Xenopus tropicalis: one gene and its partners. The protein of the gene in region 4 purifies or fractionates together with the protein of the main gene of each other region. This does not show direct contact. Links are inferred from orthologs where the notes say so. Each region holds a gene or a part of one and is shown on either strand. Other genes may lie near its edges. The genes, in order: slk, pgam5, tsc22d4, keap1, ikbkb, gabpa and niban2.

What was found.
Region 1: the proteins of keap1 (region 4) and slk purify together in Homo sapiens (affinity purification with western blotting; 3 studies listed by BioGRID and IntAct, with this or other methods). This does not show direct contact. The link is inferred for Xenopus tropicalis from reciprocal best matches to the Homo sapiens genes KEAP1 and SLK.
Region 2: the proteins of keap1 (region 4) and pgam5 purify together in Homo sapiens (affinity purification with western blotting; 6 studies listed by BioGRID and IntAct, with this or other methods). This does not show direct contact. The link is inferred for Xenopus tropicalis from reciprocal best matches to the Homo sapiens genes KEAP1 and PGAM5.
Region 3: the proteins of keap1 (region 4) and tsc22d4 purify together in Homo sapiens (affinity purification with mass spectrometry; 4 studies listed by BioGRID and IntAct, counting the BioPlex papers as one, with this or other methods). This does not show direct contact. The link is inferred for Xenopus tropicalis from reciprocal best matches to the Homo sapiens genes KEAP1 and TSC22D4.
Region 5: the proteins of keap1 (region 4) and ikbkb purify together in Homo sapiens (affinity purification with western blotting; 7 studies listed by BioGRID and IntAct, with this or other methods). This does not show direct contact. The link is inferred for Xenopus tropicalis from reciprocal best matches to the Homo sapiens genes KEAP1 and IKBKB.
Region 6: the proteins of keap1 (region 4) and gabpa purify together in Homo sapiens (affinity purification with western blotting; 3 studies listed by BioGRID). This does not show direct contact. The link is inferred for Xenopus tropicalis from reciprocal best matches to the Homo sapiens genes KEAP1 and GABPA.
Region 7: the proteins of keap1 (region 4) and niban2 purify together in Homo sapiens (affinity purification with mass spectrometry; 3 studies listed by BioGRID and IntAct, with this or other methods). This does not show direct contact. The link is inferred for Xenopus tropicalis from reciprocal best matches to the Homo sapiens genes KEAP1 and NIBAN2.

What each region holds. Positions count from the first base shown.
Region 1 is NC_030683.2:27,933,136-27,936,955, forward strand, and holds part of slk (STE20-like serine/threonine-protein kinase), read right to left. Parts: intron 1,214-3,820; coding exon 1,132-1,213; intron 997-1,131; coding exon 865-996; intron 474-864; coding exon 1-473. UniProt on the Homo sapiens protein: Mediates apoptosis and actin stress fiber dissolution.
Region 2 is NC_030677.2:155,456,959-155,461,378, forward strand, and holds the start of pgam5 (serine/threonine-protein phosphatase PGAM5, mitochondrial), read left to right. Parts: upstream 1-1,470; 5' UTR 1,471-1,631; coding exon 1,632-1,792; intron 1,793-4,420. UniProt on the Homo sapiens protein: Mitochondrial serine/threonine phosphatase that dephosphorylates various substrates and thus plays a role in different biological processes including cellular senescence or mitophagy. Modulates cellular senescence by regulating mitochondrial dynamics.
Region 3 is NC_030679.2:151,477,015-151,481,399, forward strand, and holds the start of tsc22d4 (TSC22 domain family protein 4), read left to right. Parts: upstream 1-1,505; 5' UTR 1,506-1,599; intron 1,600-1,624; exon of another isoform or gene 1,625-1,861; intron 1,862-2,028; exon of another isoform or gene 2,029-2,136; intron 2,137-2,219; exon of another isoform or gene 2,220-2,466; intron 2,467-4,385.
Region 4 is NC_030679.2:138,050,748-138,054,567, reverse strand, and holds part of keap1 (kelch-like ECH-associated protein 1), read left to right. Parts: intron 1-1,511; 5' UTR 1,512-1,896; coding exon 1,897-2,439; intron 2,440-3,820. UniProt on the Homo sapiens protein: Substrate-specific adapter of a BCR (BTB-CUL3-RBX1) E3 ubiquitin ligase complex that regulates the response to oxidative stress by targeting NFE2L2/NRF2 for ubiquitination.
Region 5 is NC_030679.2:130,604,598-130,608,417, reverse strand, and holds part of ikbkb (inhibitor of nuclear factor kappa-B kinase subunit beta), read right to left. Parts: intron 3,312-3,820; coding exon 3,117-3,311; intron 2,620-3,116; coding exon 2,505-2,619; intron 2,328-2,504; coding exon 2,204-2,327; intron 2,095-2,203; coding exon 1,943-2,094; intron 1,268-1,942; coding exon 1,206-1,267; intron 638-1,205; coding exon 528-637; intron 396-527; coding exon 346-395; intron 15-345; coding exon 1-14.
Region 6 is NC_030678.2:18,566,203-18,570,022, reverse strand, and holds part of gabpa (GA-binding protein alpha chain), read left to right. Parts: intron 1-37; coding exon 38-283; intron 284-1,568; coding exon 1,569-1,763; intron 1,764-2,115; coding exon 2,116-2,172; intron 2,173-2,339; coding exon 2,340-2,480; intron 2,481-2,836; coding exon 2,837-3,029; intron 3,030-3,241; coding exon 3,242-3,467; 3' UTR 3,468-3,820.
Region 7 is NC_030684.2:31,996,073-32,000,655, forward strand, and holds the start of niban2 (niban apoptosis regulator 2), read left to right. Parts: upstream 1-1,661; coding exon 1,662-1,702; intron 1,703-4,583. UniProt on the Homo sapiens protein: May play a role in apoptosis suppression. May promote melanoma cell invasion in vitro.

The DNA of each region.
Region 1 (3,820 bases), on a different chromosome or scaffold from region 4:
CCGACCTGATCCGCTGAAGCATCTTTGCCGACCTGATCCGCTGAAGCATCTTTGCCGACCTGATCCGCTGAAGCATCTTTGCCGACCTGATCCGCTGAAGCATCTTTGCCGACCTGATCCGCTGAAGCATCTTTGCCGACCTGATCCGCTGAAGCATCTTTGCCGACCTGATCCGCTGAAGCATCTTTGCCGACCTGATCCGCTGAAGCATCTTTGCTGACCTGATCCGCTGAAGCATCTTTGCCGACCTGATCCGCTGAAGCATCTTTGCCGACCTGATCCACAATGATTTTTTTATCTCCTTCTTCCTTCTTTACTTTTGCTTCACTTTCTTGATCTATGACTTGATTTTCAACTACAGTAGGCACAACTTGCTCAGAAACAGGCTCTAACGTTGAGGTATTCTGAGAGAGTTTATCGTCTTCTAAGCTAGCAATGCTTAGGTCTGATGAAGCTCTTTTATCTGGAACAGGCTAACAGGACAATAAAAATATATAATATTGTTAATAATAATAAAAACATTAGGAAGTTTACCTCTGAAATAATTATGCAGTTTTGCTTATTAAAATATGATCTAGTAGCCACAATCTATATTTAGGAATTCCAGGTCCACAACTGGCACCAACAAAGCATTTTTGCAGCTATATAGCACATTGGAACAATCTGCCTGGCTTCTATGGTTCTAATGCTGAAAGCTCACACCAGACAATTGAAGTTAATAAAAAGTTGATCAAGGAACGGGCCAATCTCCATCTTGGAGACATTAAAACAATTCCAAATGACCACTTTGAGAGGTAAAATATGTGATCACGTTCTAAAAAGACAGAATAAACTAAAGAACTTAAATTTTAATACCATACTTACCAAAGAACTTTCTCCTTCATCTTCCTCCTCATCCTCTTTAGCATCTTCTACTTCCTCCAACACTTCAGCTTTGGCCTCTGCTATTAGTTCTCGAAGTGGCTTGTTGGAATTTACCACAGAGACAAACGGGTGCTAAAAATGTCAAGATGATAAGCAGCACAATACACAGAAGCACAATATTAGTCAATCTGAAATTTCAAAGATCAGAAAGTTCTACATCATAATATATGTTATGAATACTCAATGTATGTATGCTTCTCTCATTACCTGTAGTAACTGAGTGGTAGTCCACCTTGCATCCACATTCTTCTCTAAACATTTCTTCAGGTAATCATTGAATTCTGGTGACCTAGAGTTAGAAATAGGAGATATAAGTTTAGCCACTACATATTCTGCTAAAAGCATTTATATTAAATACTTTGGGATGTCTTAGTTTACTGAAGGAGTTCCATATATACCGTATATACTCGAGTATAAGCCGATCCGAATATAAGCCGAAGTACCTAATTTTACCTAAGAAAACTGGAAAAACTTATTGACTCGAGTATAAGCCGAGGGGAAATGCAGCAGCTACTGCTAAGTTTCAATAATCAAATAATTAATAAAGGACACTCAGCGTTACCCCCTGTGAATAATAATAAATATATTATGTTGGCAGCTGCAGATTAGGGAAAGGTGATTAGGGAAAGGTGGATGGAGCCTAAAATAATTTTACTCACTCCCATCTGACCAAAGGCAGGGTGCTATACAGGGGCAGATAAATCTTTCTGCAATAAGAAAGATTAGCTTTTGTGCAATGCTGGGCAGATCACTCATTCACACATCACTGTGTGTATTTATGTTATACAGGTTCATATTATATTGGTACCTGGATGTACCTCTGATTGATGGCAGCTAAACGCCACAGTAACTTAACACACCAGTCTAATCTATAGGCTACCCGGCACAGGCCCACCCCCGCGTGAACAATAAGAAAGATTAGCTTTTGTGCAATCACTCATTCGCACATTGTATTTAATGTTATACTGGTTCCTATTATATTGGTACCTGGATGTACCTATGATCGATGGCAGCTGAGCGCCACAGTAGCGAACAGTCTAATCGGCAGGTAGACTAACCGGAACACGCTGGCCACCGCCCCCTGAATGTACGCACACACAGTAGCGAACAGTCTAATCAGCAGGTAGACTAACTGGAACACGCTGGCCCCCGACCCCCGCATGTAAGCGGCCTTCTGCCTGGATGTACCTATGAGCGATGGCAGCTGATCGCACACAGTAGCGAAGAGTCTAATCGGCAGGTAGACTAACCGGAACACGCTGGCCACCGCCCCCCGAATGTACGCACACACAGTAGTGACCAGTCTAATTGGCAGGTAGACTAACTGGAACACGCTGGCCCCAGCCCCCCGCATGTACACAGCCGAGCGAACGGCCAAGCACACGGGGGTGCGGCGAGCGCGACAAATGATATATATTATATATGTATATTCACTCGAGTATAAGCCGAGCCTGAGTTTTTAAGCACATTTTTCGTGCTGAAAAACTCGGCTTATACTCGAGTATATACGGTACAAACCGTTCAACTGATGATGATTTAACCTTTATCTGAAATATCTGCAAAAGTAAAAACCACTGAAGGGTATGTAGGGGTTTGACAAAAATGGGCCCTGTAGGATGAACACCCCTAGGGGTGGTGATGGTAATTGGGACACTTGGAATGGTTTGGGATATTAGTAGTTAACAGGGAGTATCCCTGTAGTTCTGGTTACAGCCACAGGGTGGTGTGTAAGGTTATAAAAAGGGATGCAGCCATGTGCTGTGGGGTCTTAGGCCTGGGACTGCCTCTGGGTAGAGGAGTACAACAGGCTCAGTTATTAGATAGTCAGTTCTGGTGATAGGTCGCTCCAGGAGTGACATGTAGGCGTGGAAGTTAGAATGGGCGGACATTGCCCCTCCAGGAGTGGTAGTGGGGTTAAGACCCCCCAGCAATACATTTGCTGGAGAGCAGGGCCCAAAGTGTCCAGGTAGGTGTATCAAGCCGCCGCTAGAAGGAGTCCTACTTTGAGGGTACCTAGGCGTGAGTACCGGGGTGAGTTCTGGAGGTGGGTCAGCCTGGCGAGAGTACCGGGGAGAGCCCTAAGAGAGGGTCTCTCGGCGTGAGTACCGGGGGGAGCACCTAAAAGGGATCATTTGGCGGGAGTACCGTAGATTACCCAACAGGAGGTAGGTTCTCTTAAGGTGAAGATAAGGAGTATATGCCCTGACGAATGTATGCCACTCCTGGAGAGGTTCTGCCCAAATAAAGACATTCATCTGGTACATCGCTTCTTGTGTATCTGGCTCATTCCTGCACCAGGGATCACCTACCCGCCGGTAAGCAACTACCCCAGGGAGGGGCAAGGTGCCAGGAGTTGTGTGGCGTCCCTGGCAAGCCTACAGTATCAGATCAGGTCCCAGGGTGGGAGTTACAGTCCCACAACATAACCCCTGGGTGGAGGCACGCCATTAAGAGTGAAGACTCCCTGTTACCCCCATAATAAGCGGGGGCTCAGGACTCCTGTTAGTGCCACAAGTATTAGCACTGTCACAAAAGTGGGCTACAGGTATTTCGAGATACTTCTGCGCCTCTCATCATCAAAAACATAAAACTGACATGATTCCATATTTCTCTTTCATTGCATACACAGTGTAATACTCTTCCAGATAGGAAACTATCCTTATTTTATTTAAAGGAGAAGGAAAGGCAAAGTCACTCGGGGAAGTTGCAGCGCTTCCTCCTTCCGGCTTTGCTAGCGCGCGCATGCGCAGTAGAGTGAAAAAGCCAAACTTTAACAGAGAAGTCGCCTTTTCACTTTACTGCGTATGCGCCTGTCATGTAGTCCTTGCAAAACGCAACAAGTGCACTTGCTTATGAGATTTTTGCTATCATTTTGCAACTGGTAGCAAAGTGGTCA
Region 2 (4,420 bases), on a different chromosome or scaffold from region 4:
GTCTGTGTGTGCCATACTCTGCCTGTCCTACCCTGCCTGTGTGTGCCATACTCTGCCTTCCCTATGCTGCCTCTATGTGCCATACTTTGCCTGCCCTACCCTGCCTGTGTGTGTCATACTCTGCCTGCCCTACCCTGCCTGTGTGTGCCATACTCTCCCTGCCCTATGCTGGCTGTATGTGCCATACTCTGCCTACAGTACCTATGTCTGAGGTGTGAAGAAGTGAACAATGGGAGTGATTACAGTCTGAGCCTGAGGTGTGAACACTGCAGGGGGTGAACAAAGGTGTGAAAAACACAGGGGATTACATATTTATACAATACAGGAGGATTACAGCCTGAATCTGAGGTGAGAACCATGCAGGGGGTCAATTAATCTCAGTACTGATACCATTTAATGCTTACTCAAAGGTAAGCCATCAAAGCAGCCAGACAGGTGGGGGGCCACACAGAGGGGGGTCTTAAAAAAATGGCAATTTAAGCTGGTAAAAGGTATGGAAAATCTCAATTATGAAGAAAGACTGGCCAAGTTGGGGTTATTTGTGCTGGAGAAGAGATGCTTAAAGGAGGATATGATACCTATGTATAAATATATAAGGGGATCATATCATAATCTCTCTAATGCTTTATTTACCAGTAGGTCCTTCCAGCAGACATGAAGGCACCCATTCAAATTAGAAGAAGGAGGTTCAATCTTAGTATTTGGAAAGGGTTTTTTACAATGAGAATAAGTCCCTGAATCAGTTGTACTGGCAGATACATTAGATGGCTTCAAGAAGGGGCTTTTTACTTTAATTGAGGAAATACTTGTACTCTTAGATCAAATTGATCCAGGAACTAGCCCAATCGCCACCTTGAAGTCAGAAAGAAATTTTATCCCCCTCTGAGGCAAATTTGAGAGGCTTCAAAGGGTTTTTTGTTTTTTTTTTGCCTTACTCTAGATCAGGGATCCCCAACCTTTTTTTACTGGTGAGCCACACAAACATTAAAAAAAAAGTTCTTTGGGGATGCCAATTAAGGACTGTGATTGGCTATTTGGCAGCCCCATGCGGACTACTAGCCTGGGGGAGGCTCTGCTTGGAGTACAAAACTTGCCTCCTAGTTATGGAAGCAGGGCGCCTACTTTGAGGCCACTGGGAGCAACATGTAGGCAGGTTTCATACAGGCATAAAAGGTTGAAATCAGTGGACATGTAGCTTATTGTCAGCCTAAGTTACTATATTATGTTACATTCAAAAAAAATTTTTGCATGAATTAAAATTCTAAGCTACAATCCAATATACATTCATTGCCTAGTTAATTTTGTTTTAATGTTTTTTTTATTATACTTGTTTAAGTGATAAACAAATGCTGCTTTTTATTGCAATAACATTTACTAATAACTTTAAAGCCACTGTCATGTTTCGTAATAATATTGGAAAGTGGTGGCTCTGAATTAAAAAGAAAATAACATGCAAGGGTGAACAGCAGCTGTCCAAAGCCCAGAGAAACCGAAATTAGGACTGAATGTTATGACTGGAGGCTGAGAAACCACGTGACATGGTGTAGTGGAAACTCCAACTCCCAGCTTGCTTTTCGGCTTAGCTTGCGCTTGGTCCGCCAGAACGTGTGTGAGATATCCATACGCCGCGAATGTATCTCCGCAAGGCTCTCATAGCCGGTGGCTCTGCGGCTGCAGCGGCGGCAGCTATTCTGGGCGCAGCAGCGGTAGGCAAAAGCAAAGGAGGACCCGACTTGGATATTCTATCCGTGGTGCCAGCGGCAACTGGGCAGTGGGACCGAAACTGGGACCGGTGAGGCACTATGTGCGCATGCGCAAACTTATGCCGTCATTGGCAGCAAGGGGTGTGATTGAGAGGATGTTTGTGGGGGCATAGTGTACTCTGGGCAAGTCTGGACCCTGTTAAATATTGGGAAAGTAAAGAGACTGCAGCCTTCATTGTTAGTGAGGGGTCATGCAACCCCCCAAGTATAGAAACAAGAGTATAGAAACAGGAACGTCTCCGACACATAAAGGTGTTTCTATGGGTTCAAAGCAAAAGGCAATAAACACCTTTGTAGTACACTCTCCTGCTTCAGCCCGTGTTCCATTTTTTTTGTTTTAATTTAAAAAAAAAAAAAAAAACGGAGTATTTTGTATTTGTTTGCACTATACAGGGACGTTTAAGCCATGTTTTGTTCTTGTGAGGTGGATATTGGAAAACCAGTGCGCAGATATGCAGGAGGCTGTTATTCTCCCAAGGCTCAAAAGCATGGAGTACTTTCAGTTTCCCTTTTTAGCTCAACAAAGAACAAGAACCATAGGTTTTGCTAAATAAAAAATAGGCAAAATGTATGTTCAGTACAAGCCCTATTCATTTTATTGAAATATGATATGCTATTACTAGTGAAAAACATAAAACTATATATATATATATATATATTATTGTGGCTGGCCCTTTAATTGTCTGTTACACACTTAAAGGAGAAGGAAAGGCTAAGTCACTTGGGGGTGCCAAAATGTTAGGCACCCCCAAGTGACTTAAATCGCTTACCTTGTACCCTGGGCTGGTGCCCCTGTTAGGAGAAAACAGCACCAGCCCGGGGTAGCAGCGAGCGCTTCCTTCTTCCGTCTTCGTTAAGCTGTGACTGTGAGTCAGGCGCATGCGCAGTAGAGTGAAAAGCCGACTTCTCTGTTAAAGTTCCACTATTCAGTCTACTGCGCATGCGCGCGAGTGATACAGGAAGGAGGAAGCGCTCGCTGCTACCCCGGGCTGGTGCTGTTCTCTCCCAACAGGGGCACCAGCCGGGGTACAAGGTAAGCGATTTAAGTCACTTGGGGGTGCCTAACATTTTGGCACCCCCAAGTGACTTTGCCTTTCCATGCCCTTTAAGCATTTCCTTAATGCCAGTTACTTGATAGTTGGATTTATTATTATTTTCCCAAGGTAACACCTTCCTGGCAATAGATGGCAGCTAGGATTGTGAAAACTAATATATATACAGCAGGGAAAATAACAATTGAACACGTCAACGGTTTTCTCAGCAAGAAATTAACACCAGATGTCGGTGACAACCCACGTTATCCACACATACAAAGAAATCAAAACAAATCATTTCATAAATTGTGTAAATGTTCAGTACTTATTCCCTGTGTCATTCCACTTTATTACACACATTCACATATATAATACATTGTAGAAAAGCCTTTCTTGGTAATGCCAGCTTCAAGGAGCCTCCTGTATGGAGAAACTAGTCTGATTTTGGCCCATTTTTCCACACAAACTGTCTCCAAATCTTGAAGGTTTCATGGGCCTCTTCTATGAACTCTGGTCTTCAGTTCTATTCATAGATTTTTAATTGGATTCAAGTTGGGTGATTGACTGGGTCATTCTAGCAGCTTTATTTTCTTTCAATAATTACTGAGAAAACATTGATGTGTTCAATACTTATTTTCCCCTCTGTGTGTATGTATATATATATATATATAAATAGAAGAAACCGGCACTCACGTGTAGTTATCTTGCCTGGGTGCAGTCCCAAAAAATCAAAAAGTTTTTACAATCCCGGGGTCAGGAACCGCTCACACAGGACTTAAGGTTCATTTTTTAAGTGCTTTATTGAAAACAGACGACAACTGACGTTTCGGCTGCAACACCAGCCTTTGTCAAAGTTACACACTAAGACTTACACGGGCCTTATAAATTGTGTTTGGTGGGAAAACCCACAGACAATAGCGTGAAAGTGTAACACTCAATCACAATAAACGTGATGACATCAAACCCCCACCCATTAGTGTACATCTCCATATGAAACAACAGGACAAATCCAGAAGTAGGAAATAAAATGCAAAATAAAAGTAAAGAATAAATTGGAATAAACCACAAAAGCTAGCGAAAATAACTACGCGAAATAGAAACATTCATGCATCTAAATACACAGTAAAGATATAAGATAGCAAACATATGGAGATGTACACTAATGGGTTTGATGTCATCACGTTTATTGTGATTGAGTGTTACACTTTCACTCTATTGTCTGTGGGTTTTCCCGCCAAACACAATTTATAAGGCCCGTGTAAGTCTTAGGGGCCCATTTACTTACTCACGGCCGAATGCGTTTTTTTCGCAATGATCGGTATTTGGCGATTTTTTTGGAAAATTATCGCGACTTTTTCGTTGCCATCCGAATGTTGCGTAAAATCTGGCGATTTTTTCGTAGCGTTAAAACTTGCGCGAAAAGTCGCGCCTTTTTCGTAGCCATTCCGAAAGTTGCGCAAAATGTTGCGATTTTTTTCGTAGCGTTCGGATTAATTCAAGCTTCAGTATGGTGACTTTCCTTGGGCCAGGTTGGAGCTGCAGGGTGCCATTGAGTCCTATGGGAGGCTTCCAAAATCATGCTAAGTCTGAAAGTTTCGGCCGCCGCTTACGAGCGCTCAATAC
Region 3 (4,385 bases), about 13 Mb from region 4:
GCTGGGGGGGGGGATACACAGAGTAGGGGGTACAGGGTAAGTACAATAGGCTGGGGGGGGGGATACACAGAGTAGGGGGTATAGGGTAAGTACAATAGGCTGGGGGGGGGATACACAGAGTAGGGGTATAGGGTAAGTACAATAGGCTGGGGGGGGGGGGATACACAGAGTAGGGGTATAGGTAAGTACAATAGGCTGGGGAGGGGATACACAGAGTAGGGTATAGGGTAAGTACAATAGGCTGGGGGGGGATACACAGAGTAGGGGGTATAGGGTAAGTACAATAGGCTGGGGGGGTATACACACAGGAGTAGGATAGTAGGGGTATAGGGTAAGTACAATAGGCTGGGGGGGGGGATACACAGAGTACGGGTATAGGGTAAGTACAATAGGGGGGGGGGGATACACAGAGTAGGGAGTATAGGGTAAGTACAATAGGCTGGGGGAGGGATACACAGAGTAGGGGTATAGGGTAAGTACAATAGGCTGGGGAGGGGATACACAGAGTAGGGGAGTATAGGGTAAGTACAATAGGCTGGGAGGGGATACACAGAGTAGGGGAGTATAGGGTAAGTACAATAGGCTGGGGAGGGGATACACAGAGTAGGGGAGTATAGGGTAAGTACAATAGGCTGGGGGGGGATACACAGAGTAGGGGTATAGGGTAAGTACAATAGGCTGGGGAGGGGATACACAGAGTAGGGGAGTATAGGGTAAGTACAATAGGCTGGGGAGGGGATACACAGAGTAGGGGAGTATAGGGTAAGTACAATAGGCTGGGGAGGGGATACACAGAGTAGGGGAGTATAGGGTAAGTACAATAGGCTGGGGAGGGGATACACAGAGTAGGGGAGTATAGGGTAAGTACAATAGGCTGGGGAGGGGATACACAGAGTAGGGGAGTATAGGGTAAGTACAATAGGCTGGGGAGGGGATACACAGAGTAGGGGAGTATAGGGTAAGTACAATAGGCTGGGGAGGGGATACACAGAGTAGGGGAGTATAGGGTAAGTACAATAGGCTGGGGGGGGGATACACAGAGTAGGGGAGTATAGGGTAAGTACAATAGGCTGGGGAGGGATACACAGAGTAGGGGAGTATAGGGTAAGTACAATAGGCTGGGGAGGGGATACACAGAGTAGGGGAGTATAGGGTAAGTACAATAGGCTGGGGAGGGGATACACAGAGTAGGGGTATAGGGTAAGTACAATAGGCTGGGGGGGGGGGGATACACAGAGTAGGGGGTATAGGGTAAGTACAATAGGGGTGCAGAGAAGGTTGGGGGTGAAACTTGTACTGGGGCTGAGGGAAGTGTGAATGGGAGAGTGAGGGGAGGAGGAGGGCAGAGAGGCAGAAGGAGGAGGGCAGAGAGGCAGAAGGAGGAGGGCAGAGAGGCAGAAGGAGGAGGGCAGAGAGGCAGAAGGAGGAGGGCAGAGAGGCAGAAGGAGGAGGGCAGAGAGGCAGAAGGAGGAGGGCAGAGAGGCAGAAGGAGGAGGGCAGAGAGGCAGAAGGAGGAGGGCAGAGAGGCAGAAGGAGGCAGTGAGAGGCGACAGATACAAGAGGTTGGACTTCCTGACACAGGAGATGTCAACAGGCTGAGTAAGGAGGGAGGGAAGGAGGGAGAGACTGCGAGAGAGAGAGGGAGAGAGAGGGAGAGAGAGGGAGAGACTGCGAGAGAGAGAGGGAGAGAGAGGGAGAGACTGTTTCAGGCCACAGAACATGAACTGAGAGACTCACAAACCTGCAGCTGCATGGAGAGAAAGTTTCCTGGAGTCGTGTGAGGCATGGAGCATCCCTGAGTGTGAGAGCCATCTCCCCTGAGAGTGAGTGGGGGAGCCAGGAGGAGTCACACAGAGGGAAGGTAAGAGTGAGAGTGAGTGGGGGAGCCAGGAGGAGTCACACAGAGGGAAGGTAAGAGTGAGTGTGAGAGTGAGTGGGGGAGCCAGGGGGAGTCACACAGAGGGAAGGTAAGAGTGAGTGTGAGAGTGAGTGGGGGGAGCCAGGGGGAGTCACACAGAGGGAAGGTAAGAGTGAGTGTGAGAGTGAGTGGGGGAGCCAGGAGGGGTCACACAGAGGGAAGGTAAGAGTGAGTGTGAGAGTGAGTGGGGGAGCCAGGAGGAGTCACACAGAGGGAAGGTAAGAGTGAGAGTGAGTGGGGGAGCCAGGAGGAGTCACACAGAGGGAAGCTAAGAGTGAGTGTGAGAGTGAGTGGGGGAGCCAGGGGGAGTCACACAGAGGGAAGGTAAGAGTGAGTGTGAGAGTGAGTGGGGGAGCCAGGGGGAGTCACACAGAGGGAAGGTAAGAGTGAGTGTGAGAGTGAGTGGGGGAGCCAGGAGGGGTCACACAGAGGGAAGGTAAGAGTGAGTGTGAGAGTGAGTGGGGGAGCCAGGAGGGGTCACACAGAGGGAAGGTAAGAGTGAGTGTGAGAGTGAGTGGGGGAGCCAGGGGGAGTCACACAGAGGGAAGGTAAGAGTGAGTGTGAGAGTGAGTGGGGGAGTAAGGAGAGACTTGTACCTTACCTGAGAGACAGAGGAGTAAGAGAGAGTCGAGTGAGAAAGTGAGTGCAAGAGATGGAGCTTTACTTAGAGTGGGGCTGATTGGATTGGAACTGAGTCGGGGGCTGAGGCTGATGGGAAATATTCTTGTACTGGGGCATTTGGGATATATACAGTGTATGTGCTGGTACCTATGAGAGACCCCCCCATCATCCTGTCTGTGGGGGCCCCCTGCTCCCGTCTGACTAACTCCTACCCATAATCCACCCAAACCCCACAAACTCAGTGCTGGAATTGGGGTGAAAAAACAGAGGGATGCTGTGGAAAAATAGGCCCCACCCACTGCTGTAATAAGCCACACCCACCCATTACATTACATTACAGGGGGGGTTGTTTTGCCCTGATGTAGGAAGTGAAATTCTAAGACCATCTGCAATTGGTTTTCTTTTTTGTGGTTTTTGAGTTATTTCGCTGTTTTATTCAGCCGCTACCTGGTTGCTAGGGTCCAAATTACCCTAGCAGCCAGGCCTTGGTTTGAATGAGAGGCTGGAATTGGAATAGCGGAGGGCTTGGATACAAAGATGAACATTTGTTTTTGAGATGTCGGGGGTCAGCGACCCTCATGTAACTGCCGGACGGATTCAGAACGAGGCAAACCATTCAAAAACTATAAAGCAGAAAAAATAAAGCCCAACTGAAAAGTTGCTTAGAATTAGCTTCCAGCACATCTCACCTTTCCCCAGTTTCCCAAAGGCCCACAGGCCGCTAATAATGTGCGTTATTGGGCCCACTGGTGCCACGGTCACATGCTGTAATGTCTGCAACCTGATTGGCTGAATACTGAGCATTTCTATAAAAACGTATAACTTCCCATTGGCTAGGCGGGGGCTTACAGGGTTACCCCCACGACCCATTAGGCAAACCGCCCCTAGTTGACTGGGTGCCCCCTGCATACTCTGTGCCAAAGGTACCGTGGGGCCACCAGGAGCCGCACAAATATAACCCCCTGCTGCGCACAGTAAAGGAGAATATGAGTGCCAGGGAGCCTGAGAGCAGTGATTGGCTGTGCCAATTCCCCGGCCTTGAATTGTTTTTCAGCTTTTATCCTTTCATGTGATACCATAACACAGGCTATAACTCCCTGCACTGACTCCCCACGCTCTATTGGCCACCCTGTCACTGCCGGCCTTACAGTGCATCATGGGATGTAGTTCTTCTGTATATCCCTTAACCCACAGCAGCTCTTCCTCCCTCTTCTACCAATCACTGCTGCCTCAGTGTGAATATACAATCCTTTATGTTTATACCATATCCCTGCAGCCCCTCAGTGACTGCTAATATCCTTATCATTTACAGTAGGGGGTACAGTATCCCTTATAATACATGAGTGATACTCAGAGTTCCCTGTATAACTCAGCCTGCAGCCTTGTGCCTTTATATGGGGGGCACAGAACCCCTCAGTGACTGCTAATATCCTTATCATTTACAGTAGGGGGTACATTATCCCTATAATTACATGAGTGATACTCAGAGTTTCCCTGTATATACTCAGCCTTGCAGCCTTGTGCCTTTATATGGGGGGCACAGACCCCTCAGTGACTGCTAATATCCTTATCATTTACAGTAGGGGGTACATTATCCCTTATAATACATGAGTGATACTCAGAGTTCCCTGTATAACTCAGCCTGCAGCCTTGTGCCTTTATATGGGGGGCACAGAACCCCTCAGTGACTGCTAAATATCCTTATCATTTACAGTAGGGGGGTACATTATCCCTTATAATACATGAGTGATACTCAGAGTTCCCTGATAACTCAGCCTGCAGCCTTGTGCCTTTATATGGGGGGCACAGAACCCCTCAGTGACTGCTAATATCCTTATCATTTACA
Region 4 (3,820 bases):
TACATTGTTTCAGAAGTCAGAACCAGCAGGGCAGACAATGGCCAATTCTCAGCAACTTTTCGACCGGTCTTCATTTTTTTATCTTTTAAAGTTTTTGAATTATTTGCATTCATTTACTGCCTTTGCTCGGCTTTCAACGGGGGTCACTGACCCCGGCAGCCAAAAGACTATTACTCTGCGAGGCTACAGTTTTATTGTTGTTACTTTTATTTAACTTATTGTTATTTTTACTTATTTGTTCTGTTCAGCTCCACTACTCTTCATATAGTGGTCGCTCTCTCAAACCTCTCCCTGGTTACTAAGGTGAAATGGACTCTAGCAACCAGATTGCAGCTGAAATGTGAAACTGGAGAGCTTTGGAACAAAAAGTTAAGTAACAAACAATAAAAAATGAAGACCAATTGGAAATTGTCTCGGAATATCACTCTCGACATCATACTAAACCTTTGAGGTAGTTTTTTAGTATGATGTAGAGAGTGATATTTCGAGACAATTTCCAATTGGTCTTCATTTTTTATTATTTAACTTTTTGTTTCAAAGCTCTCCAGTTTCACGTTTCAGCAGCTATCTGGTTGCTAGAGTCCATTTCACCTTAGTAACCAGGGAGAAGATTGAGAGAGTGACCAATATACGAATAGTAGTGAAGCTGAACAGAAACATAAGTTATTTAACTTTTTGTTCAGCAGTTCTCTAGTTTATAGTTTTAGCAGCTATCTGGTTGCTAGGGTGCCAATTTCCTTAGCAACCAGGGATTGGTTTGAATGAGAGACTGATACATGAGTAGGAGAAGGCCTGAATAGAAAAAAAAGTTATCAAAAGTAACAATAACAATAACATTTTAGCCTCACAGAGCAATAGTTTTTGGCTGCCGGGGTCTCTAGTCTCACATTTCAGCAGCTATCTGGTTGCTAGAGTCCATTTCACCTTAGTAACCAGGGAGAGGTTTGAGAGAGTGACCAATATATGAATAGTAGTGAAGCTGAACAGAAAAATAAGTTTTTTAACTTTTTGTCCAGCAGCTCTCTAGTTTATAGTTTTAGCAGCTATTTGGTTGCTAGGGTCCAAATTACCTTAGCAACCAGGGAGTGGTTTGAATTAGAGACTGATACATGAGTAGGAGAGGGCCTGAAAAGAAAAAAAAGTTATCAAAAGTAACAATAACAGTAAAATTGTAGCCTCACAGAGCAATAGTTTTTGGCTGCCGGAGTCAGTGACCCCCATTTGAAAGTTGGAAAGAAGACAGAAGAAGAAGGCAAATAATGCAAAAACTATATAGGCAGTTTATCTTTGGTGCGACTAGCATGGGAACTGCTGCTGCTGAACGTAGGAGCATAAAGGGTGCTCTATTAACCCAAAATGGCTGCATTAATGCAATATTTACACGCCGCGCAGTGTGCCAGGTAAACATGGGATGTGTGTAAAGCAGTCATAACTCTATGGCGTCACTCGTTCTGGCACATTCCCGGCTAATCACAAGCAGCTTTCAACTTCTCTTCCTTCTTCCTCTCCAGGTATCAAACAGAAAATGAACTAGAAGGGCTCCTATTTGATCCCACCGACTCACCGTAGCCCGGGTTTGCTCCAGCAACATGCTCAACCCCTAGGCAGAGACTTTTATTTTTCATTTGCTAACCCCCCCCGTTAACCAAACGACCGGGATGGATTAAATCACTCCTGACTAGAGAATCTGGACAAACTGATATGGATTAAGTATCCGTAATATTTTTTTTTTTTCTGCGTGAAATAATTTATTGGTCTTTTTGACACATTTTTTTTGCACAGTTAATTTATTTTTTTAAAATATTTTTTTTAAAGAAAAATGGCAATAGGTTTGTTTTGAAGAAATCTTTTTGCCCCCTAATGATGCCCCGTTAGGCGTTTCCGACGGCAGCAGGAATGTACGCGACAGAGTGCCAGGCGGAAGTGACGCCCTCGCACAGCAATGGCAACCGGCAGTTTCAGTATAGCCTGGCCGACCACACCAACCAGGCCTTCCAGATTATGAACGAGCTCCGGCTGGGGCAGCAACTGTGCGACGTCAAGCTGAAGGTCAAGTACAACGACGTCCAGGATGAGTTTGTGGCCCACAAGATTGTGCTGGCGTCCAGCAGCCCCGTGTTCCGCGCCATGTTTACCAATGGCCTCCGGGAGTGCGGCATGGAGACCGTTACCATAGAGGGGGTTCACCCTAAAGTCATGCAGCGGCTTTTGGAGTTTGCCTACACAGCTAGCATTTCCGTGGGAGAGAAGTGCGTCATCCACGTCATGAACGGCGCCGTCATGTACCAGATGGACAGCGTGGTCAAGGCCTGCTGCGACTTTCTCATCCAGCAGCTTGACCCGAGTAACGCCATCGGCATAGCCACCTTTGCGGAGCAGATCGGATGCCACGAGTTGCACCAGAAGGCGCGGGAATATATATACATGCAATTCGGGGAGGTGAGTCAAATAACTGTATCAGGGCTTTAAAGGGGAGGTACACCTTTAAGTTAACTTTTAGTATGTAAGCAACTTTTCAATTGGTCTTCATTATTTATTTTTTTTGTGCCCTGTTTACCTGGCACGTGGCGTGTAAATATTGCATTAATGCTGCCATTTTGGCTTGATAGAACACCCTTTAGGCTCCTAAGTTCAGCAGCAGCAGTTCCGATGCTAGTCGCACCAAAGATGAGCTGCCTGTATCGTTTTTGAATTATTTGTCTTATTCCTCTGTCTCTTTCCAAAAAAAAAAAGGGGGCTCACTGACCCCGGCAGCCCAAAAACATTGCTCTGTGAAGCTACAGTTTTATTGTTATTACTTTTTATAGCTTATTGTTCAATTCAGGCTGTCCCCTATTCATATATCAGTGTCTTATTGAAACCACTCCTTGGTTGCTAAGGTAATTTGGACCCTAGCAACCGAATAGCTGCTGAAACTATAAACTAGAGAGCTGCTGAACAAAAAGTTAACAAGTAATAAAAAAATGAAGACCAATTGCAAATTGTCTCAGAGTAAAAGTTAACTCAAAGGTGAGCAGCCCCTTTAACATTTGGCAGATCCACGTAGCGCTGTGGTTTCCGTTCTGTGCTTTCCCCAATGCTTATTCATGGTGTTGTGCAAGGCGCTGAGCTGTTTGACCTTGAGACGCGAATGATAGGACTGAGGTCTGAGAACATAGCGTGTTAATCATCTTCCACAGAGACGAAAAACAAAATGTTAGTGGGTACAGGTGGGGCAAGTGGGTCTCACTGTTTTTGTAGCAATGAATGCTGAGAATTGGGGTGCTCTTGGGTGCAATGGAGTGCTGTGTGAAGTAAAAAAAAAGTTTGTCTGGGACACCCTAGAATCTTGTCAGGCAAGTACTGTGGCTGTGGGATAGCAGGTATAGTAGGGAGAGATGGTGCCTATAGTAGCAGTGGGGGGATAATAGCCTCTGGGAAGGGACTGGGGCTGTGGGATAGCAGGTATAGTAGGGAGAGATGGTGCCTATAGTAGCAGTGGGGGGATAATAGCCTCTGGGAAGGGACTGGGGCTGTGGGATAGCAGGTATAGTAGGGAGAGATGGTGCCTATAGTAGCAGTGGGGGGATAATAGCCTCTGGGAAGGGACTGGGGCTGTGGGATAGCAGGTATAGTAGGGAGAGATGGTGCCTATAGTAGCAGTGGGGGGATAATAGCCTCTGGGAAGGGACTGTGGCTGTGTGATAGCAGGTGTAGTAGGGAGAGATGGTGCCTATAGTAGCAGTGGGATAATAGCCTCTGGGAAGGGACTGTGGCTGTGGGATAGCAGGTATAGTAGGGAGAGATGGTGCCTATAGTAGCAGTGGGGGGGGGGTAATAG
Region 5 (3,820 bases), about 7.4 Mb from region 4:
TGCTGTCCTTTGATCTACAGGTAAAAAAAATACATTGGTGCTGGGTTCCTAGAAATAAATTTACGTTTACGTTTAGAGCAAGTCAGATCTTCTCGGTAAGTCCAATATCCTTACTACATGTCACATGGAGTTGAGCATGTTGAAACTACACTTCCTGAGTAACTAGCAGGTAGCCTAAATACCATGATAAATTAACAGAGTCAGGTTTCTGGTGCTAAACCGCAAGAAGGGTTATCTAGCCCATCGTATTCCCGTCATATTTAGTAATACAGACTCTTTGGCCCTAGAGCCAAATACAACTAGTAAGGGGATTATTTACCCATATTTGCAACAATAACTGCTTACCTCTAGGTCTCTCCCGTAACCGCCGATATAAATCTTTAGCCTGTTCTTCTCTGGCAATAAAAGTAGAAAACAATGTTTTATTTAGACCGTCATAGAGAACAGCCAACCCCCAACACAATTTACAGAACACTTCATATGATGACATGAAAGTACAATGGCTGAACAGTTTCCACCTCACTCACAGGTCATCCAGTGTCCCTCGGTGTTTCCTGCCTAATGGATTTCTCTGCAGATCTACACTGTCTGTTTGTAAAGCCATCATTTTATCCACAAGAGCCTGCACTTCCCTCTCCTACAAAAGAACAAAAATGTAAAGAACTTAAAACAAAGGAAAATCCAACACACAGTGGTTGAAAAGGTAGGTAACCTTGTTTCGCAGCAATGAGCAATTGATTTCTGGGCTTCTCTCTTGCCTTATGATCTGGCAGGGGGTAAAAGTTGGGGTCTGACATTAAGAGCTGACTGGGGTTTACTACTACACTGATCTCCAGGAAGCTCAATAAGAACTCTCTTTAGGTTCCAAAGCTAAAGCCCTCCTTTACCCCATAAAGATCAATGCAATGGGATATACTGCATTTTGGGAAAAGAGCAGCCCATAACCAAACAACCTGGATACATTTAAACAATGCAGACTGCGGATATTTGGGTGCATTTGTAATTAGACCAAATTTGTAATTACAATACACAAGCCCAAACCGCAAATGGTTGCTATGGGGGAAAAAAGCAGTGCACTGGTTTTGCCCACGGTGCCCCTTTAAGTAATGGAGCCCGAGACCCTAGGGTACATATATTCACATAGCACGTTTAATTTATGGAGTGGGCTTTCGAGTATCATTATCCCATTTCATCTCATTCCTTACCCTGCCGCACAGTTCCACTGTTTGCTCCGTCTCTCTCCAGGCTGACAGGAGCTTTTCAGAAGCTGCGAGAAAGAAACATTGTTCATATCATTAACAGGTAATGTAAAGGTGAACGGCTCCTTTAATAGATATCATTGATGATAAGGTGATGTGTGTGAAGTAGGAACCCATATAAAGGCTCAAAATACAAGGGCTAGACCCTGGCCTACTAAGTCTCATCCTGCAGACTGTATGGCTAAAAGCAACAGTAATAAAGAGAAATTTGCTCTTTTATGAATATGCTATTTCACAATAGTAACACTGCATGGTGCAGATTTTGCCCTGTTCACATTTCACAAGTTCAATATATAAAAACTGGCATTTCTAGACATATTCATTTTTAGGGTTTAGTTCTCCTTTAAATCTGCATATAACAGAACGGGTACCTTCCGTATCCTAAGCAGAGCTTTAATTTTATCTTAATGCTGTAAACTAAGAGGCCATAGTTTGATATGCACAGATCATTCCTCTGTGTAAAACTGTATTTATACAGAAGACTGGAAGCTCCCATACTGCTTGCTGTTAATACAGAAAGCCATTTATGATGACTATGAATGCTGTTTAGTGGTTGTCTAAAGAAAAAAAAAAAAAGCTGTGCATAATAACAGTGTGTCAGAGGTTACAGCAAAGTCAATAAATCACTATAGTTCTCTTTACTAAGCAATAAAAGTCGACAGAGGGCCCAGCCAGTAACTTACTGATTCCAAACTCCATCTGTTCACTGTATTTTTCTAGATCAATCTGGATACTGTTCCGGAAGAAATCCAGTTTGGCCTTTAGCTGCTCAAACTCAGAAGTCATGAGGTTCTTCTTTTTGGAAAGTTCAGTATTGTATCGCAGCAGGTTTACCCTACATAACATAGAGATATGCCCTCAGCACTTATGCATAATACATGGAGAAACACACATCTGCCACACATACTGTCTGTCCCACCCACACGCAGAGCTCTCATACTCACATAAAGGTACGCTGCCCATGAAGCAGACGGGCACAATCCTCTTTCATCGCTCGTATTGTCTGCCAGGTCTGCCCCCACACGCGGCGAAGGTGGGTGTAAGTGAGGGGCCGCTTGGGATCCTGCACTGGAATAGAATTAAGTGCCACAGTGTCACATCACCATCAACAAACCACAAACCTCAGGATTAGACAGATGTATAAACCCTGAAGGCATAGGCAAACGTCTGAGTCCTCAGGCAAGAGGAATATACATATACATGTATATCCCTTGCCATTACAAGCCAAATATCAGTGGCACTCACATATAACGGTGACACTCTCGGGATGTGCCGGCAGTGATATCTGGGGCTCATATACAGTCTTCCGGTTATCAAATAGAAATATCAGATCACCCTCGCCCTGGCGCCCATCATTGACCTGTAGACAAAAGCAAATAAGACACTTATTGATTAAAATAATTCCAGTTTATAGACAACAAAGATATTGGCCTATGACCCTCAAGCAGTTACAACTCCCACCAGCAGCCAGCATCTTATATGGCAAGGTCAGATCTAGAATGCAAGAACAACTGCAGGTGGAATGAACTAGAACAGTTGAGGGTTTTACTACACTTGCTGTACTGAAAGTAATATGAATATTTGAATCTGTATATTGCACTTAAGAGCTGTAATTAAGCAGTGAAACATATGCCTATATGGTCACTCTCTGAAGTCAAAAAGACAATGGTTTTCCTTTCATTAACAGTTCCACCAGATACTGTGACCTGCAAAGAAAGGCTGCTTACAGAAATATAATTTAAAGTTGCATTTTAAGTTGAACCACACTAGCCTTGTGTCACATGACACAAAACATTTTTTTTGCCATATTTGTGCTTTCATAATGTCATTTTGCGGTGAGCATGAGAAGACTCTTACCGTGCAGTCTACCACAAACTGGGTTAGAGGCTGGGCAGGATTAAGGGCCAATCCTGATGCCTGCAATAGTTCCTGCTCTTCCTCAGGAATCCCTGTGTCTTGCTCCAGGCGACTCTTCAGATTCTGCAGGTTTTCATTCTCTGACACCGGGTAAGTGTGCACCTTGCCAGACACCATGTTCAGTACAGACAACAGCTGGGGGGATATATACACATGTACATCAATATATCAGCAATAACATATATGTTTATAAAAACCTGTGATATATATCCTTATAAGTAGTGCTTAGTGAGGTTATCATATATAAATCACCCATAGCCCATTGAAACGTGTATTAAAAAATAAGCAATCCCCTGCTTCAACATTTAGGAACATTAGAAACCACCTTACATGGTCTGTGGTCCTTATATCTTAAGAGAGGGTGTTGTATAAACATATATGCAGGTCTATCCTGTTGGTTCTGGTGCTTTTCTTGAAACTTTGGGGCAGTTCTCTCATCCAGAGTATCTGCCTTCACCTTTTTTGCTGTTTATTGCTGGGTGGTACGTATAGGTTTGATTTTTGTTTTGATATTGTGTACATATCTTATGAATGTTGAATTATTGTTATACAATAATTTTATATAAAGCTTTTCAACTGCAATACCACCTTTGTATGGCTCTTTTTAGTGTGCAACATCTTTATGTGGTTTATATCAATGCCAT
Region 6 (3,820 bases), on a different chromosome or scaffold from region 4:
TGGAGGTATATTTAATTTTTTATTTCTGTCATATAAGGGCTTGAGCCAAAACTCAACATCCTGGAAATTGTGAAGCCTGTGGAGACCGTAGAAGTGGTAATTGACCCAGATGCCCATCAAGATGCAGTGGAAGCCGAACTTGTGGAGGAGGCACAAGTGATAACTCTGGATGGGTCAAAACATATAACAACGATGTCCGATGAAACATCCGAGCAAGTAACCCGGTGGGCAGCAGCACTGGAAGGCTACAGGAAGGAGCAAGAACGCTTAGGCATTCCATATGGTAAAAAACATTTGCAATAGCTTAAAGTAATTTAATTAAACCTAACAATTCAGGAAAATGAGTTTACAAGGGATGTTAAAGTATATTTGTAGTATTTTATGTTCTGAATGACTGTTTTTACAATGTAAGATTACATGGTTTAGCTTTATTATAGATTAGCAAAAGTAATATGTGTATAGATGAGCAAACAATAACAAATATATTTCTGCAGATCGTGTTTTATTTTTGTGTCCTACACTTAGAGCTGGGCGGTATGACCAAAAATTTATATCACGGTATTTTTCAAAATTATATCGGTGTGACGGTATTTGACGGTATTTTTTTTTTTTCCATGCATGATTAGGTGTTAACCCCATTTCCTAATAAATTAGAGAATAATTACTGCAGTATTGAAAATCAGAGTCAGGCAAGCGAAGGATCGGCAACAGAAAGTCGTAAGGTAAATCAGGCAGGCTTAGTTTCCCAGGCAAGGCCGCAGACAACATAGCACAGGAGGAGGCGTTTGATAGCTTTAAATACCCCCCACGCATGTGCAGAACCGGCGCCGTCAGCGCATTACGGACGTGCACGCTTTGACATGTACGTGCGCTTTGACGCACGCGAGACCGGCCCGCACGGGTGAGTACCCTGACACCCCGGTATTGCGGTATCTGAAAAATGAATATAGTAATATAGTTTTTAAAAAAAACACCGGTATTCGGTATTAAACGGTATATCGCCCAGCCCTACCTACACTAGAGACTGGACTTAACATTTAGGGAAATGCCTGACAGCACAAGTACTGGCACAGTCAGGCAATTTCAATGGGAAATAGCAAGTAGCCATGTCAATAAACTCATCCAGTCTACAGTTTTGGGCTGATAGCATATAGAGAACTTTTTAGCCAGTGCATGGCAACTTGCTATCAACCCAAAGCTGTAGACTGGATGAGTTTATTGCCATGGCTATTTCCCACTGAAACGGCATTAGCCTTAAGAAGGGAGAGGCTTAAAATGCTTCCAAGGCTTTTTAAATTCTCTCCTTTGCTCTGTTTTTGCATTGAATAACAGCAGCTGCATAAAAACAAGATGATATTTAGTTAAATCTTACAAATATCCCTATTCACACTACAGAAGCAAATTCATATTCAACCTGCATAGTTATGTGAAGACATGTAGATAGGATCAGATGGATTTAGCTTGCTGCTAAACTGCTGTGCCTAAATTTCCTGTAAATAATTATTCATCAGTACTCAAATCAGAAATGTGATGTTTTATTGTCTTTCTTTTTTTCCCATTATTTTCAGATCCACTTCAGTGGTCTGTTGATCAGGTTCTTCATTGGGTGCTTTGGGTAATGAAAGAATTCTGTTTGACTGAAATAAATGTGAACTCCCTCGGTATAACAGGAAGAGAACTCTGCAACCTTAACCAAGAAGATTTCTTCCAAAGAGTCCCCAGAGGAGAAATTTTGTGGAGTCATTTGGAGCTTCTTAGGAAATGTAAGAAGTTCCCCAATATCTGCTCCATTGTTGATCAAATTTGTGGGATGCACACTACTGGGAAAATCTTACGTTTTCTTGCACACATATTTTTAAAATATCTGTACCTTTTCTGCAAGGTTGATCTTCAAAGCCACAGTGAACAAGTTATATAAGGTGCTCCTCATATTGGGTGTGATGTCAAATTAAATTAGGGCATTTTATTTGACAACTGGGTGCCATCAGGTAGAATATATACTGGTTACTGCCAAGTTACTACTAAATGCCTTGCTGGCTTTTGTTACCAGTAATGACTGAATGTCTGTTTAATCTAGTAATGGGAGGCTAAACAGCTTTTTCCATGTGTTTTCAGATGTTTTGGCAAGCCAGGAACATGGAGGTGAAATTGCGACCGTTACCATTGATCAGCGTAAGACAACGTCTTTGCATTTTTACTAGCAGTTGAACTCTTACATAACCTAATTTCCTGATAGTACTTACTGTGTGCAACTGTTGTTGTAATGTAGAAATTTTTGGCTTATATTTAAAAGGGAAACTGTTAATGAAAACTTATTTATTATTTAATTGCTTTTGTAGCTGTACAAATTATACCAGCATCAATCCAACCAACAGCACAAACAACCATTAAAGTAATAAACAGTCAAACCAAAGTAGCAAAAATACAAAGGACGCCGCGCATTTCTGGGGAAGACAGAAGTTCACCGGGAAACAGAACGGGTAATTCAGCATGCACTTTTTTTTCTTTTTTGGACTGATGACCAATTATACAGTTTATAGGTTAATAAATCATTAACACATACCCCATATGTAATTAAAAAAGCACTAAGTGTGCCCATAAGCAATACCCATAGCTACCAATACGATGTTTGCTTTTGTTTAGGTGACCAGTAAATGCTACCAGCTGATTGGTAGCTATGGGATACTGCACCTGGGCAGATATGGGATACTGCACCTTAGTGCCTCTTACTACATAACCCCAAAGACTGCTATGTTGTAAACATGGTCCTTCAGAAAAATGAACATGTCACCATTTTCAATATGTATTTTATTTAATTTTTTTTTTTTTTTTACAGGAAACAATGGTCAGATTCAACTATGGCAGTTTCTTTTAGAATTGCTCACTGACAAAGATGCTAGAGACTGTATTTCATGGGTTGGTGACGAAGGAGAATTCAAACTGAACCAGCCAGAACTGGTGGCACAAAAATGGGGACAGCGAAAAAACAAACCCACCATGAATTATGAGAAACTTAGCCGTGCTTTACGGTAGGTTCCAAATCTTGTAGCTTGCTGTAACAAAAGGCAAGAATTTGAAACCAAACCCAATATGAAGTAAAATAACCTTCCTGTGGAATAGTAATTTTTAGTTATTCTGTATCCTGTATTTTGATTGAAGAGTTTAAAAGTTAAATTGTTAATGTTCATGTTTGTATCATTAGGGAAATATTGATGACTAGCTATTTGTTCTTTCCTTGTAGGTATTACTATGATGGCGACATGATCTGTAAAGTTCAAGGCAAGAGGTTTGTTTATAAGTTTGTTTGTGATCTGAAGACCCTCATTGGCTACAGTGCAGCAGAACTGAGTCGGTTGGTGGCAGAATGTGAACAAAAGAAAATGGCAAAGATGCAATTACATGGCATTGGGCAGCCTATGACTGCGGTGGCACTAGCTACTGCTTCACTTCAGACAGAAAAAGAATAATTTGGCTCTGCAGAAACTCAAACTGATACTTTCCATCTGTACATTGCAGGATCCTCATTTATGGGATTCTGATGCATTTTTACTTTCAGACCTCACAGTATAAGGCATGATTTTGTTTTTTTCGACAGAGGACTTGGAATTCAGTACACTTGGATCTTGTAATTCTTCGGGTAACACGTTTGTTTACAGTGGCCCCTCATTCAAGAAGCATGGCATATTTTCCACATGAACTTAATGAACTCGGCTCTTTGTAGTGAGGTTAAGCCTTCTGTTCTTTTCCACCATAAAAATCATTTCCATCTTCATTAAGAAAGCCTTTCCTGATCCTAAAGGGTCCCATGGGGTTTATTTTG
Region 7 (4,583 bases), on a different chromosome or scaffold from region 4:
GGCCCCCTATAGCTCATAACAAGGTTACAGATAAAAGAAGACATTGTTGTATCAGCCACAGTTCCAAGAATATCTAAGTGTTCACTCTAGCTGGCCTTGTGGTGCAAATAGGAGAATAAATAACTTTTTTTCCCCAAATCTCACCCTAGCTGGGCTTTAGACTAAGAGCCCCCATCACTGCTTCAAGCCCTCCATGATGATGCACAATAGGCCCTGGCATTTTAAGTACACAGAGGCTCAAACAGGCCCCAACCAGCTCACTAAATAGTGACTGGCAGTGGAATCTCCCCTTTGGCATTTGCCAGAATCCACAGATTGCCAGCCCAGGCCTACAGGGGGCCACCCCCACAGTTTTGCAACCAGCGCCAGATTTCTTATCCCCCCAAGGCCGCCCCAATTCGTCACCCCCCGCATTCGCGAACACCCCTCCAAACCTCCCTGAAGCAAGGTCCCCATTGCTCCGTATTATTATTATTATTTATATAGCGCCATCAATTTACGCAGTGCTTTACAGAATAGAGGGGTACAAAAGACATAACAGTTAACATGTACATATAAACAAAAATGGTTTGCAGTTACATTGGATGAGGATCGGAGACACTAGGGGGAGGGCCCTGCTCACAAGAGCTTACATTCTAAAAGGGAGGGCTGAGACATAAGGTCAGGGTAACTAGCATGGTGTTAGAGTTCATGTAGGTGTGTAAAGTGAGAGTAAGTGCGGAGTGAGAGGTAAAAAACAGTGGTTAGTGAATGTTTGGGGGAGTAAAATGTCAAACTTTCGGTGCGGCGGGGCAGCATGCCACCCCTAAATTTGTGCCGCCGTAGGCCTGGGCCTTTGTGGCCTTGCCACAAATCTGGGCCTGTTTGCAACCATTGCTAATGACGATTCTATGACAATGGAAATTTTAGAAGCAGGTTTTGGGGAAGGTTTTGGGGAAGTGACATCATGTGCACACTGCACATGACATCACTTTAACGACATTGGTGCATGTAACGTCATATGCATGAGGTAGAGGTGTGTATAAGCTCAGTGCCTAGGGCAGCACCGGACCTAAATACACCCCTGACTATGGATCTTATAAATATATTAATAATAATATATTAAAAAACATAAATTGAATTATTGTAAATAAGGCAACACATGGTAGCCATGGAAACTGGCTGTATTTAAAGGTAATAGGTTTGATATGTCTTATAATCGCAGTGATTCTCATTCAAAAAACAGGCCTTTAATTGCAATAGGAAGTGATGCACATAATTTAGCATTTTCCTGCTAAGCAATACACCCCTCAATTATGAGACAGAGAGACATAACAATGGTTAGAATGGCACATTCACAATTACGTTTGTTGTACAATTATTATGGCTTATTTAAAAAAGCTGCTTATTATATGATGACAATGTTACTTAAATTCAGAAATATAATAGGATAATGTAATACAATGAAGGACTGGGTGATTTGAAGCTGTATATACACAGACAATTAGATCCAAATGATGGGAAATATTCCAATCACTGCCAAATGAAATGATAGCTTATATAGAAATTCATTCCTTGGCAATGCCGACACTGAACTGACTTTGAAAAAACTAACAGCTTTTAGTTTTAACTATGTCATATGTCACTTCTAGGTCTGAACATGGAATCTGAAGTGCCTCCCTATGGGGAGCGTTAATATGCATGGAATGACAGATATTCTTGGGTGAGTATCAGTCAAGTCAGTCTTCATTCGGTCACATCATTCATTTTCTCTGACTCATCTGTTTTTCAAGCAACTTGTGCTTACTGAAAGGGGAGATGTCAGTGAGAAGGACTGTAGGGCACGGTAGGAGTAACTTGACTTAGGGCTGGGCGATATACCGCTTAACACCGAATACCGGTGTTTTTTTTTTTAAACTATATTCATTTTTCACCCCGCAATACCGGGGTGTCAGGGTACTCACCCGTGCGGCCCGGTCTTGCGCGCCTCCTTGCGTGCGCACGTACATGTCAAAGCGTGCACGTCCGCGATGCGCTGACGGCGCCGGTTCTGCGCATGCGTGGAGGGTATTTAAAGCTATCAAACGCCTCCTCCTGTGCTATGTTGTCTGCGGCCTTGCCTGGGAAACTAAGCCTGCCTGATTTACCTTACGACTTTCTCTTGCCGATCCTTCGCTTGCCTGATTTTTCAATACTGCAGTAATTATTCTCTAATTTATTAGGAAATGGGGTTAACACCTAATCATGCATGGAAAAAAAAAACACCGTCAAATACAGTGACACCGATATAATTTTGAAAAATACCGTGATATAAATTTTTGGTCATACCGCCCAGCTCTAACTTGACTGACACACTTCTGCTTTTGATTCCCAGGCTCATCCTTTAAAAACGATAGTGGATACTTCTAGGCCCAGATTTGTGGAGAGGCCACAAAGGGCCGTGCCTAGGGCGGCAGAAGTTTAGGGGTGGCATGCCGCCCCGCCGAAACAAAATGTTTAAATTTGACTCGTTGGGAGCTCTCCCCACTGCTCCGTATGGAAGCATGCACACTCGCGGCTGGCGCGCGCGCGGGGGGGGGTGTCGCGCGTTCACGCATGCGCATGACTGGAGGGGGGGGGGCGACCAACAGGGGTGGCCTCCGGGCCTAAGGCTTTAGGTCAAGAATCAGCCCCTACATTGGTATCAGGAGACTGAAGGCCCTTAGGCTAATGCCACATGGATAAACACAGGCCAAAAATCAGCCCTACAATAGCATCAGTCTTCCCCTATGCCTGTACCCTGAGTCACACTAAACTTTGTTGTTTAATCAACAAACATCATCATCCCATATTTAAAACAGATGGGCCTAGGGCTGCCACCTCCAGTTTTTTAAGGGACTGTTCAGGACAAAACCCAGTTTTCAACATTCTGGGAATAACACAGTAATGCCACCCCTGATGTCATTGCATGGCATGCAACCCGGGGTTTAAAACCTGGAAAAGGTGGCAACTCTAGATGGGTCCCTTAGGTAAAGGATACATAAAGACTTTTTCTTCACTAAAACAGGTATTAAAATGCTGGCCATACATGGGCTGATAAAGGCTGCCAACTTGGCCATGTAAAAGGCCCTTAGTAGGTCCTGTGACAGATATTGATCTGGCAGGTTTCAAAAATCCTGTTGATCAAGGACTGCACCAGCGCAGTGAAAGGACCCATCACAAAGAATCAAGACAGATGGCTGTTTTCAATTCTTTCAGGAGTCACGCAATTGGCTAGAATAATGCTCTATAAGAAAAACAAACAAGGCTATACACAATGAGCAAAGTTTAAAAACAAGAACATGTTATCATATCAGCAAAGCTCTTTATATTGTTCTTTTTTTCCTCCAGTGAAAAGTGTTTTTCTTTTTCCTGCTTAGAAGTAACAGTAGGATGTTGTGGGAGCAGTCTGACTGGGCACGTGTCTCATTTCACTGCTGGTTTCCTACAACCAATTTGAAACTAACAGGCTTATAGTTTTCAGGCTGAGAATGGGATGCCTTTTTGAATAGAGGCACCACTGAATCAATTTGCCCTTGGCACCATACCAAACCTCAAATAATTCTGAAAAATTAAGTAAAGAGGATAGGTGGAGACATTACTAGAGGGGGGCACATTTAGCGCTAGGCCAAACCCTTAAAGAGATACTGACACCAGAAATTAAACCTTTTTTTACATCTATCATAACATAGTCTTTGCATGACCTTCATTTTTGCTATAAAAGTATTTGCCCAATGCTTTTATATTACCTGTCTGATCCCCCATGTTCCCCTATAAGGGGGCTGCCATATTTGTCCAGCAGGAGGCCGTTAGCATTAGAAACTATAACTGACAGGCTGGGAAGGGACAGTCAGGTTGGTTTACTTCAAGTAACAATTATTTACAAAAGCAAATCTCTCAGCGAAAATCAATCAACATGACCTATAGGCAACTTTTTATGTACATTCATATTTTGAGGAGTCGTTTTTTAGTGTCAGTATCACTTTAATGTGCCCATGGCAAGACCCAGAGCAACACAACCCCCCCACTTGTCACCCACCCTCCTATTTACAGACTACCCACACTATATAACAAGCAGGGCTTGCCAGCTAAAAGAAGAGGAGCAGGAGCTAACGACAAGGCAGAAAGGCTGGAACTTGGGGTTGGCAGGCAGAAAAGGTACATGACTGGTGCCACCCACTGTTGCACTCTACGCATGTACCTCTTCTTCCTAATTCTAGTTCCAACACTATCACAATCTCCTATACTCAATGCCTGATATAGGTTGGTGGTAAACAGAGTCGGACTGGGACCCCAGGGGCCCACCAGAAAACCTTAGACCCTAGGCACACTCTCCAAACTATTTTTCCTCCTTTCCTCAACCAACATCTTTATCCTCTTAGTCTCTTTTATTTACATGCTAAATCTATTTTTCCATCTATTTCTCCTCTTTGTTTTCATTCAGAAATAGGGAATAACCATTAAGCAGGCCAAATGGTTAGGAGCAGGAGGGTCCACTGACACCTGGGCCCACTGGGAGTTCTCCTGGTAGGCCAGTCAAACACTGGTGTTAAATACAGAGACCCACTGCATCTTACACCAATTGG